Oryzias latipes: one gene and its partner. The protein of the gene in region 2 purifies or fractionates together with the protein of the main gene of each other region. This does not show direct contact. Links are inferred from orthologs where the notes say so. Each region holds a gene or a part of one and is shown on either strand. Other genes may lie near its edges.

Region 1 (4,081 bases), on a different chromosome or scaffold from region 2:
AAACACCGTCCCATGCAGCACTGCACGGTGACCCCCACTAATCTCCTCCTGACAAAGTGGCTTAGCCTCTATACAGTCATATGGCACAGCGGGACGGCTTAAACACACGAGGTTTGCCCCGATCAAGCACACCCAGGGGGGCGGGGACGTTCAACAGGTCACGCTCGGAAACTCCCCAGTTGCCAAGTAAGTTTAAAAACCCGAAAGGAGGGTCAAATTTGACCCCAAGGAGACAGATGGTAAAAAAAAAAAAAAAAAAAAATCCTCATTTTTCAACACCATTTCCTGGAAATGCTCAACAGCACAGGAGCAGAACACAAAATCCAAACATCTACTTCTAAAAAAAAGTATTAAAAAGAAGTGAGGACATTTTTCCAAACATTTTTTTTTAAGTTTCAAACCTAGAAATACTCCGGTCAGAGCTGGAAAACAAACAAAAAGGTTTCGGAAAGCATCCAGATCTATGATTACAGCTAAACATGGCTCTCCAATGCATTATCAATTTAACAAATTAATAAAACCCCTGTTTCTAAAGCCGCCTTCCATCTTTTGATCTATTTTCAAAGCGTTCCCGGTGGTATTTTAACAATGATTATGTCACAATTTTGCTCAAATCCAAACACTTGTGTCATTTTCTAGGACATAGTTTACTGCAGGGTTGCAGTAGTTCATTAGAAATTTGCCTCTGAGCACGGGGCAACCCCGCCCCGCTTCCTCTCCCTGGTGCAGAGAGGTCAGAGCGGGAGCTTGTCTGTCACTCACCAAGTGTATTTTCTGCGTCACAAAGATGCTCATTTTCAAACAGCATTTTTTGTCTGCTCCTGATTCACATAGATTTGAACACAGAAATACTCAGAAATGCAACTTTGAGCTAAATGTTCTTTGAATATGTCCTCCGACACCAAAAAAAAGCCACAAGAACATGCTGAAAAACTGCATTTTCATCGGAGTGGCTCTTTAAATATCCTTTTAAATCCCGAAACCTTCAGCAGAGCATTGTATACATTTGATCATTTCTGTTCAGGTGAGCAGTTTTCACCTCTCAGACAAGCACAGAGCAGTTCAAAGTCTTCCTGTTCTTACCTTTCCTCTGCAGAAACAGCCTGAGCAGAGGGTTGGCCGTGGAGATGGCCTTGTGGTAGTTGTCATCGTTGTTGATGGGCAGCAGGTCGCCGTGCACGTCGGCGTAGCCCACCAACAGCTCCACGTTGGGGATGCGGTGCACGTGCTGCAGAAGGCCGTAGAACTCATCAAAGCGCCCCGGCTTCGACCGATCCAGAGAGAACCGACGAAACTCTGCACCAAACTGACCCGCAAAAAAAATAAAAATAAAGTTTTGTCAGCATTAATTACAATACGAACATGTAGGTGTTCAACTACCAGTATTGTCTGTAAAACATGAATAATAGGGTTTCTAAATGAAACATGGATGCAGTAAATAGAGTTAATCAGTTTTTTTTTTTTATAAAAGCTGCATTCTAACACGCCGTCTGAGCTCTTCAGTGCAGCTCAGAGACTCTGTACTATAATGTCTCCTGGCTAATGTTGATGAATACGGACGGGTTGTTGTGGTTACTGTTGCCAAGCTCCACAAAAGATGATGAGAATTCAGTGCCAACTTGGCCAGGTTTACACCAAAAGAAGTGTGTTAGGCTCAGGTTTTTGGGAGGAGACACCCTAAATAGAACCAGGGATGAGTAGAAAATGACCAAATAACAAAATATAAAACTCCCAAAACACAAATTGTAGAGCAGAACTCCGTAGAATCAACAGAGGGACGGTTGTAGTTTGTGTCGACATGCGCACACATGAACAAAAACGAGTTTAGAGGCGCTAAAAAAAAGAGCCTATTCTGTCAACGGTGTGTGTAATCATGCAACAAGCAGGCTCTGGCGGAAGGAGCCGGCCTGTCGCAGGCCGAATGACACCTGTGCACGCGGGAGGGGCGACGTCGCCCTAAGTTCGGGGCAGCCGCTCCTGCCTTCCTCCGGTAGTTTCAATCAACTAGAAAGATGAGAAAAGTCCCGCGAATGCCCCCCCCCCCCCCCCATCCCCCCGGGAGGGAAAAGCGGTAAGAACCCCGGCTCTAAACTTTAGTGAACGGGTGGCGGGAGCGGCGGAGGAAGCGGTGACAGGTGACACGAGCTCACCGCGGCGTCAACTGACGTTAACGTAAACCCTCGAACTACACCGAGAAGAACGACGACGCCACTCTCACGTTTGGCGGCGCGTCGACGTCTCGATCGATGTTGTGGAAACAATAACACAAAAATGTTTAACATTTTGTTCATGTGTTTTTTTGCGCCATCATTAATCTGGTACCGGGCTACTTAGCAGGCTAAATTAGCAAGAGTGACAGATTAATGACCGCGGAGTTGCGATCACAAACACATCGAACGGAAACGGTAAAGGAGTCCAGGGATCACCTTGCTCTTCACCTCCACGGCACTCAAAGAACGGCTGCTCGGCACTCGGTGGTTTTTGTTCATGTTTCGCTAGCAGCGGGACAGCCGCCGAAGCACACCCTCTCTCTCCGCTCCTCCTGCCGCAGCCGCGTATCCCCCCCCCCCAAAAAAAAGCGTCCGCCAGTCACTTCTCCGACAGCAGCAGAAGACGTCCCGGTTCTCCTCCGCGTGCGCCGGTTCGTTTATATCGGTCCGGAAGTGTCCAACGAAGGCTGTCAACCCGCCTGGCTCAGCGCGTGAACTTCTCTCGTCTCATAGCTGCCGCTGTGCGTGGACCTCGCGCTGCGTCCGGTTGTGTCTTTGCGACTCTTCTCGGCTGAATGCCCAGCCGCCCTCCGAGTGCCTGGAAAGCTGCGCCCTTCAAAATAAGAGTCGTTGACATTTCAATACATTTAAAACTTCAAAATAAGACTCATATTTATCACTATTTTGAACAAGGACGTCATGAGAAAAACTTTTAATAAATACAAACAATATTTCTGTACCGTCGAGGGACAGATAATGTGGATTAGGGATAATATTTAAAGTGGCAGACATTCAAAAAACATTTTTTACATTTTCAATAAAAAATGTCTACGTTGATTCAAAATGTACACCATCATTTCAGGAAAATAAAGGAAATTTGGGTGATGGGTTTACTTTTAATTTATGAAGTATGATTATTATTATTACCATAAATATTTTTTTCCTACTAAATAAAAAATATACATATATTTTTTACTTGAAGTTATTAAGCCCTTCCCAATAAATTGCAGATGCAACGTTATCGCAACATAAGCTGTGCAATACGCATATCGCAAAAGTTGGCAAAAATCACGATAAATGGTTACCTTAAATGTGCTAAAACAATCAAATTATCATATAAAATAAATCAGATCAGGAATAAACATTTTATCTCAAGTTTGGACTCAAGCTGGCACCATTGACAAATGCAAACAGATGTTTTAGCTTTTTGGCAAAGCAAAAAAGTTAACTTGCTCCCAAAAATTGAAAACTTGGTGAATTGGACCAAGAAAAGCATTGAAACCAATTTTAAGGGATTTTACTCTCATTTTAGTTTGGTGCAGAAGTGAAGCCATGATAAAGTCCACTTGTCATTTTGGGTTAAAACAGTTTAGATTGTATTTGGGTTGGAGGGAGCGTTGAAGAGCGGGGACGGACGACCGAAATCAGTGATGATAGTGTAGCGACCTGGGGGTTAGCCCCGCCTTCAGCCCCTAAGGCTCATGGGAAGTGGGGAGCTTAGGGTCAAACCTTGAGTCAGAGGGCTGGAAGCTGAAGTCACGATCCATGCTGTTTGGGCTGTATATTGGCTGGAATGAACAGGCTTTTTGCTTAAAAGCTAATATTGTCTCTCTCTACGTTTCTTCCAACCTGAGACTGTCAGGGGTCGTGCGGTGTATGGGGCACGGACAGATTTCCATTAGGACCACTTCATGAGCAGTTGGCTTTCGCTATCCCACTAAAGTGACGGTCCGGCCGGATCGTTACAATAGAAACAGACTTTCAATGGCTGCAAACTAAGTCAATGTTGTTTTTATCTATGCCTGCAATTTATTCACTTTTTTCCATACCCTCACAGTCTGAGTCAGAACATGCTCCCTCTTTTGGTAGAT
Region 2 (3,515 bases):
CCACATTCCTGAACACGCAGCTCTGTTACCACAGGATACACAACATGTATATGTGCGAGTTAGGAGGGTAAGGCGGAGCGTCGAGTGTGAAGAGGAGGATGAAGGAAATATGAAAACAAGCCATAAAAATCTGCTGGACATCATTCATTTGGTTCCGTTTCTTTGTCTTTGCTGAAACCAGTTTGCTCGGTCTGACTTTATCGGCTTGCTTTAAAATAAAAACTCTCCATGTAAAAAAAAAAAATGAAAGGAGAATTACAAGGCAGTTTATTCAGTTTCAAGTTTAAATAATGAGAACAATAAAGTGGGCTTGTTTGAGATTCAAACACATGAAAACCGTCTGAGGCGTTTCAGGATTCATCCCAGCAGGGAGTCAAACACGCCTGAACTGCGGAAGGAGAACTCGACTGTTTACCTTCCTAAAGGGAGGCCACTCCTCCTCCTCCTCCTCCTCCTGCTGCTGCTGCATTTCTGGGTCATCGCAGGGGTCGTGGGGATCATCGATCGGGTCGCCGTCTGTGTGGAAGACGTTGGCCGTGCTGAGTTTGTACAGTGGAGTCAGAGCAACACCTGAGGCGTCCCAGAAACGAACAGTGCCGTCCTCGTGCCTGCAAGAAGCAGATTTTAGCCCCGGACTGTCCAGTCATGACTCAGCAGATCTGCCTCAATATCTGATTTTGGTAAAGGTCTCATGTTTGAGGTTTCTCATCTAATAGATCAGTGCTACTTTCAATTTAAAAAAATAAATAAGATTTTTTCAAAATAGCAGAGGTTAAACTATTTGACAAAATGATCTCAAACGTCTGCACTTAATTGTAATCTAGTCCATCACCACATCAAATGACGAATATGTTTGTGTGAAAAAAGTCTTTTTTACTTTTGGAGCTTCAAATTTCTTCAAAAAAATTTGATTTCGAACAGAAACGTAGGGTCTAAGCGGCTAAGATGAGTGAGCGTGTGTGCGGACCAACCCTGTCAGCAGCAGCTCCTGTTGTCTGGGTGGGGGTGCCAGGTTCTTCCCTCCACATATTGGCCATTTCTAGACAAACAGAAATTAGGGATTTTATAAGCAGCAGGAGAAATTTACGTGCGACTAAACCAATTTTCGGCTAATATTTACTACGGATGCCGCAATTCTTGAAGCCTACTTTTTACGCCATTGAACCAAATTGTAGGAAAAGTGAATTGTTGCCTCTCTACTGCATTCGTTTGCACAAGTTTATAATGAAAGTGTCAAACACGTGTTGTGCTAAAGTTAATACATTTAATGTTGTTTCATAACAATTGAAACGTTTCTCTTCATTGTCACTTGCTTATTAGGCAATGTGAAAAATAATTTTACTGACTTTTTTAATGTTTTGTCTTACAGAACTCGTATATCGAACGGAAACAAAACTGTGACCCAAAAATCGAGATTTTAACGGAATCATGGGAAAAGTGAATCATAGAATCCCCAGGATTTATTATTCGGCTAACATACTAACTCGCCAATTTTGAAAAACTTCTCAAAACCAATATGGCACTTACCGATATTCTTTTCCCCCTTTCAATTGTATTAACCTTTTACTTTTAAACGTTTAAGAATGGCGCCTTATTTGACTGCTGTAATTTTAAAGTACCATATAAATTAATTTGAGCCAAACAGAGTTGAATATACAGAGAGAAAAAAACAAAAAGAAAAAAAAATTACCATCATCTCTAATCAACCTACGTCACAGAGGTCATCCTCTTTACTAAACACCACTTAGGCACTCTGGGCTCCTTGTGCAAGCCTACCTTGTGTAGATATCAAAAACCGTGGTCTAATATTTGACCAATTAATGTCTTTCAAAAATCATTTTTATCACCTAATTAACAGGTCTAAACTAAGTAAATTGGGAACTAAAGATGACTTGCATTATTGTAATTCATGCTTGTATCTAATATTGTTTAGATTACTGTTATTTCTCTTTTTGCTTGTTTTGATTAATTCAACTGTTGGTACTAAATGCTGCTTGAAAGCTTTTAACAGGAACCAGTAAAAAGGGCTCATTTCATCAGTTTTAAATGCTTTTCATTCTATCCATTTTAGGATTGATTTTACAATTTTAGTTTTGATTCGTAGAGCTCTTAATGAGCAGGCCCCTAATTATGTTTCCTAACTCTTGGTACCACATCTCCAGTCGTCCTCTTTGGTCCTCTGGTCCTACGTAAGGTCCCCAAGACTCTGTAAAAAACTTGAGGTGGCCTCGCGTTTCAAGCAGTAGGATGCCTTGCCCTGATTGTGACCGACAATCAGGGCAAGGCGTATTGGAGTGTAATTTAATGGCCTGAGGGCTTCAGAAAAGGCTTCCTGGGAAACGTCTTGGGACATGGCTTTGTTTTTTAAGAAGTTTTTGTTATTGGTCGGGATCATCAAGGAATATTACTAGAGCACAGAGAGATGCAATTTGGAGAGTAGGTCAACATTTCAGACGCACTCCACGCTGGGAGAAGAATAACACGTTTTAGTTAGTTTAGTTTAGCAATTAGCTAATGTTCATATTTTATGACTGATTTTATGTTTTTGAACAATTATTGGTGTCAACCCCGTCAAAACAACTGTGATTTTGGGCTATATAAATAAAATTGAATGGAACTTATGAATGTAGCAGCGGTTTGTGTGTAATCTGTGTCTAATCAAACAGTTGACGTAAGCTTAAAGACTTGGTAGTATTCAGACAACTTACATCTGCGCTATAAATTCAAACCCTCAGGTCACGTTAATGTGGCTTCATTTTAAGAAGCTGAGAAACTCAGATCAACCAGTTCATGGATTGAAAGCAGTTCTTTTGGATTCTAGTTCTATCTAAAAATAAATGATTTGTTAGTTGACTTACATAAGAAGAATGTATAGAAGCAGAAAGGTCACAAACCATACTGTGTTTAAAAATGTTAAGCCTCTTGCATTGTAAAGAGGAAACTGAATACCTGTTTAAACCGATTTACAAACTAATCCTGACTTTGGCTGATAGACGTTCCTTTGGCTGTTCTCACTCTGTGTGTGTGGCGCCGGCTCTGTTGTGCTTTGCCGGCGTTGATCAGCCGCTCCCACAGCTTGGTGGAGACGTTTGTGACGTGACAGGAGCACGTGATAGCTGACGAGTGAAGGGGAGCGAGGTAAGGAGTGGGCAGCGAGGGCCAACCGGGGGTCAGCAGGTCAATCACAACCAGCTCCTCCTCCAGAAGCACAACGAGAGCCGATGGGTCGTCAAACTCTGAGGGCGGGAAGACAGAAGGCAGGACATTTAAGATCCAAAACAGAATAAAAGTGAAAGGATTTATATCTGCTTGGATTCTTACCTTTGTCGTTGTCCATGTTGTGGACAGTAAAGAAATCGATCACTCGAGATGTGAAGTCCAGAGTGACATGCTCTTTGTCCTGCTGGATGGTTAGACAGTGACGGTCTCCATAGCTGGCTCGTGGCATTCCTCCACTATATAAGATCACCGGGGAACTAGAGAGAAGCAGAGGACCCTATTTGCAGAGGTATTCA

What was found. Proteins that work in one complex are often made in the same cells at the same time.
Region 1: the proteins of llgl1 (region 2) and pard6b purify together in Homo sapiens (affinity purification with mass spectrometry; 5 studies listed by BioGRID and IntAct, counting the BioPlex papers as one, with this or other methods). This does not show direct contact. The link is inferred for Oryzias latipes from reciprocal best matches to the Homo sapiens genes LLGL1 and PARD6B.

Annotation. Positions count from the first base shown.
Region 1 is NC_019865.2:4,514,983-4,519,063, forward strand, and holds the start of pard6b (partitioning defective 6 homolog beta), read right to left. Parts: upstream 2,804-4,081; 5' UTR 2,490-2,803; coding exon 2,427-2,489; intron 1,307-2,426; coding exon 1,084-1,306; intron 1-1,083. UniProt on the Homo sapiens protein: Adapter protein involved in asymmetrical cell division and cell polarization processes. Probably involved in formation of epithelial tight junctions.
Region 2 is NC_019866.2:18,056,704-18,060,218, reverse strand, and holds part of llgl1 (lethal(2) giant larvae protein homolog 1), read right to left. Parts: intron 3,477-3,515; coding exon 3,322-3,476; intron 3,237-3,321; coding exon 3,016-3,236; intron 1,040-3,015; coding exon 972-1,039; intron 609-971; coding exon 416-608; intron 1-415. UniProt on the Homo sapiens protein: Cortical cytoskeleton protein found in a complex involved in maintaining cell polarity and epithelial integrity. Involved in the regulation of mitotic spindle orientation, proliferation, differentiation and tissue organization of neuroepithelial cells.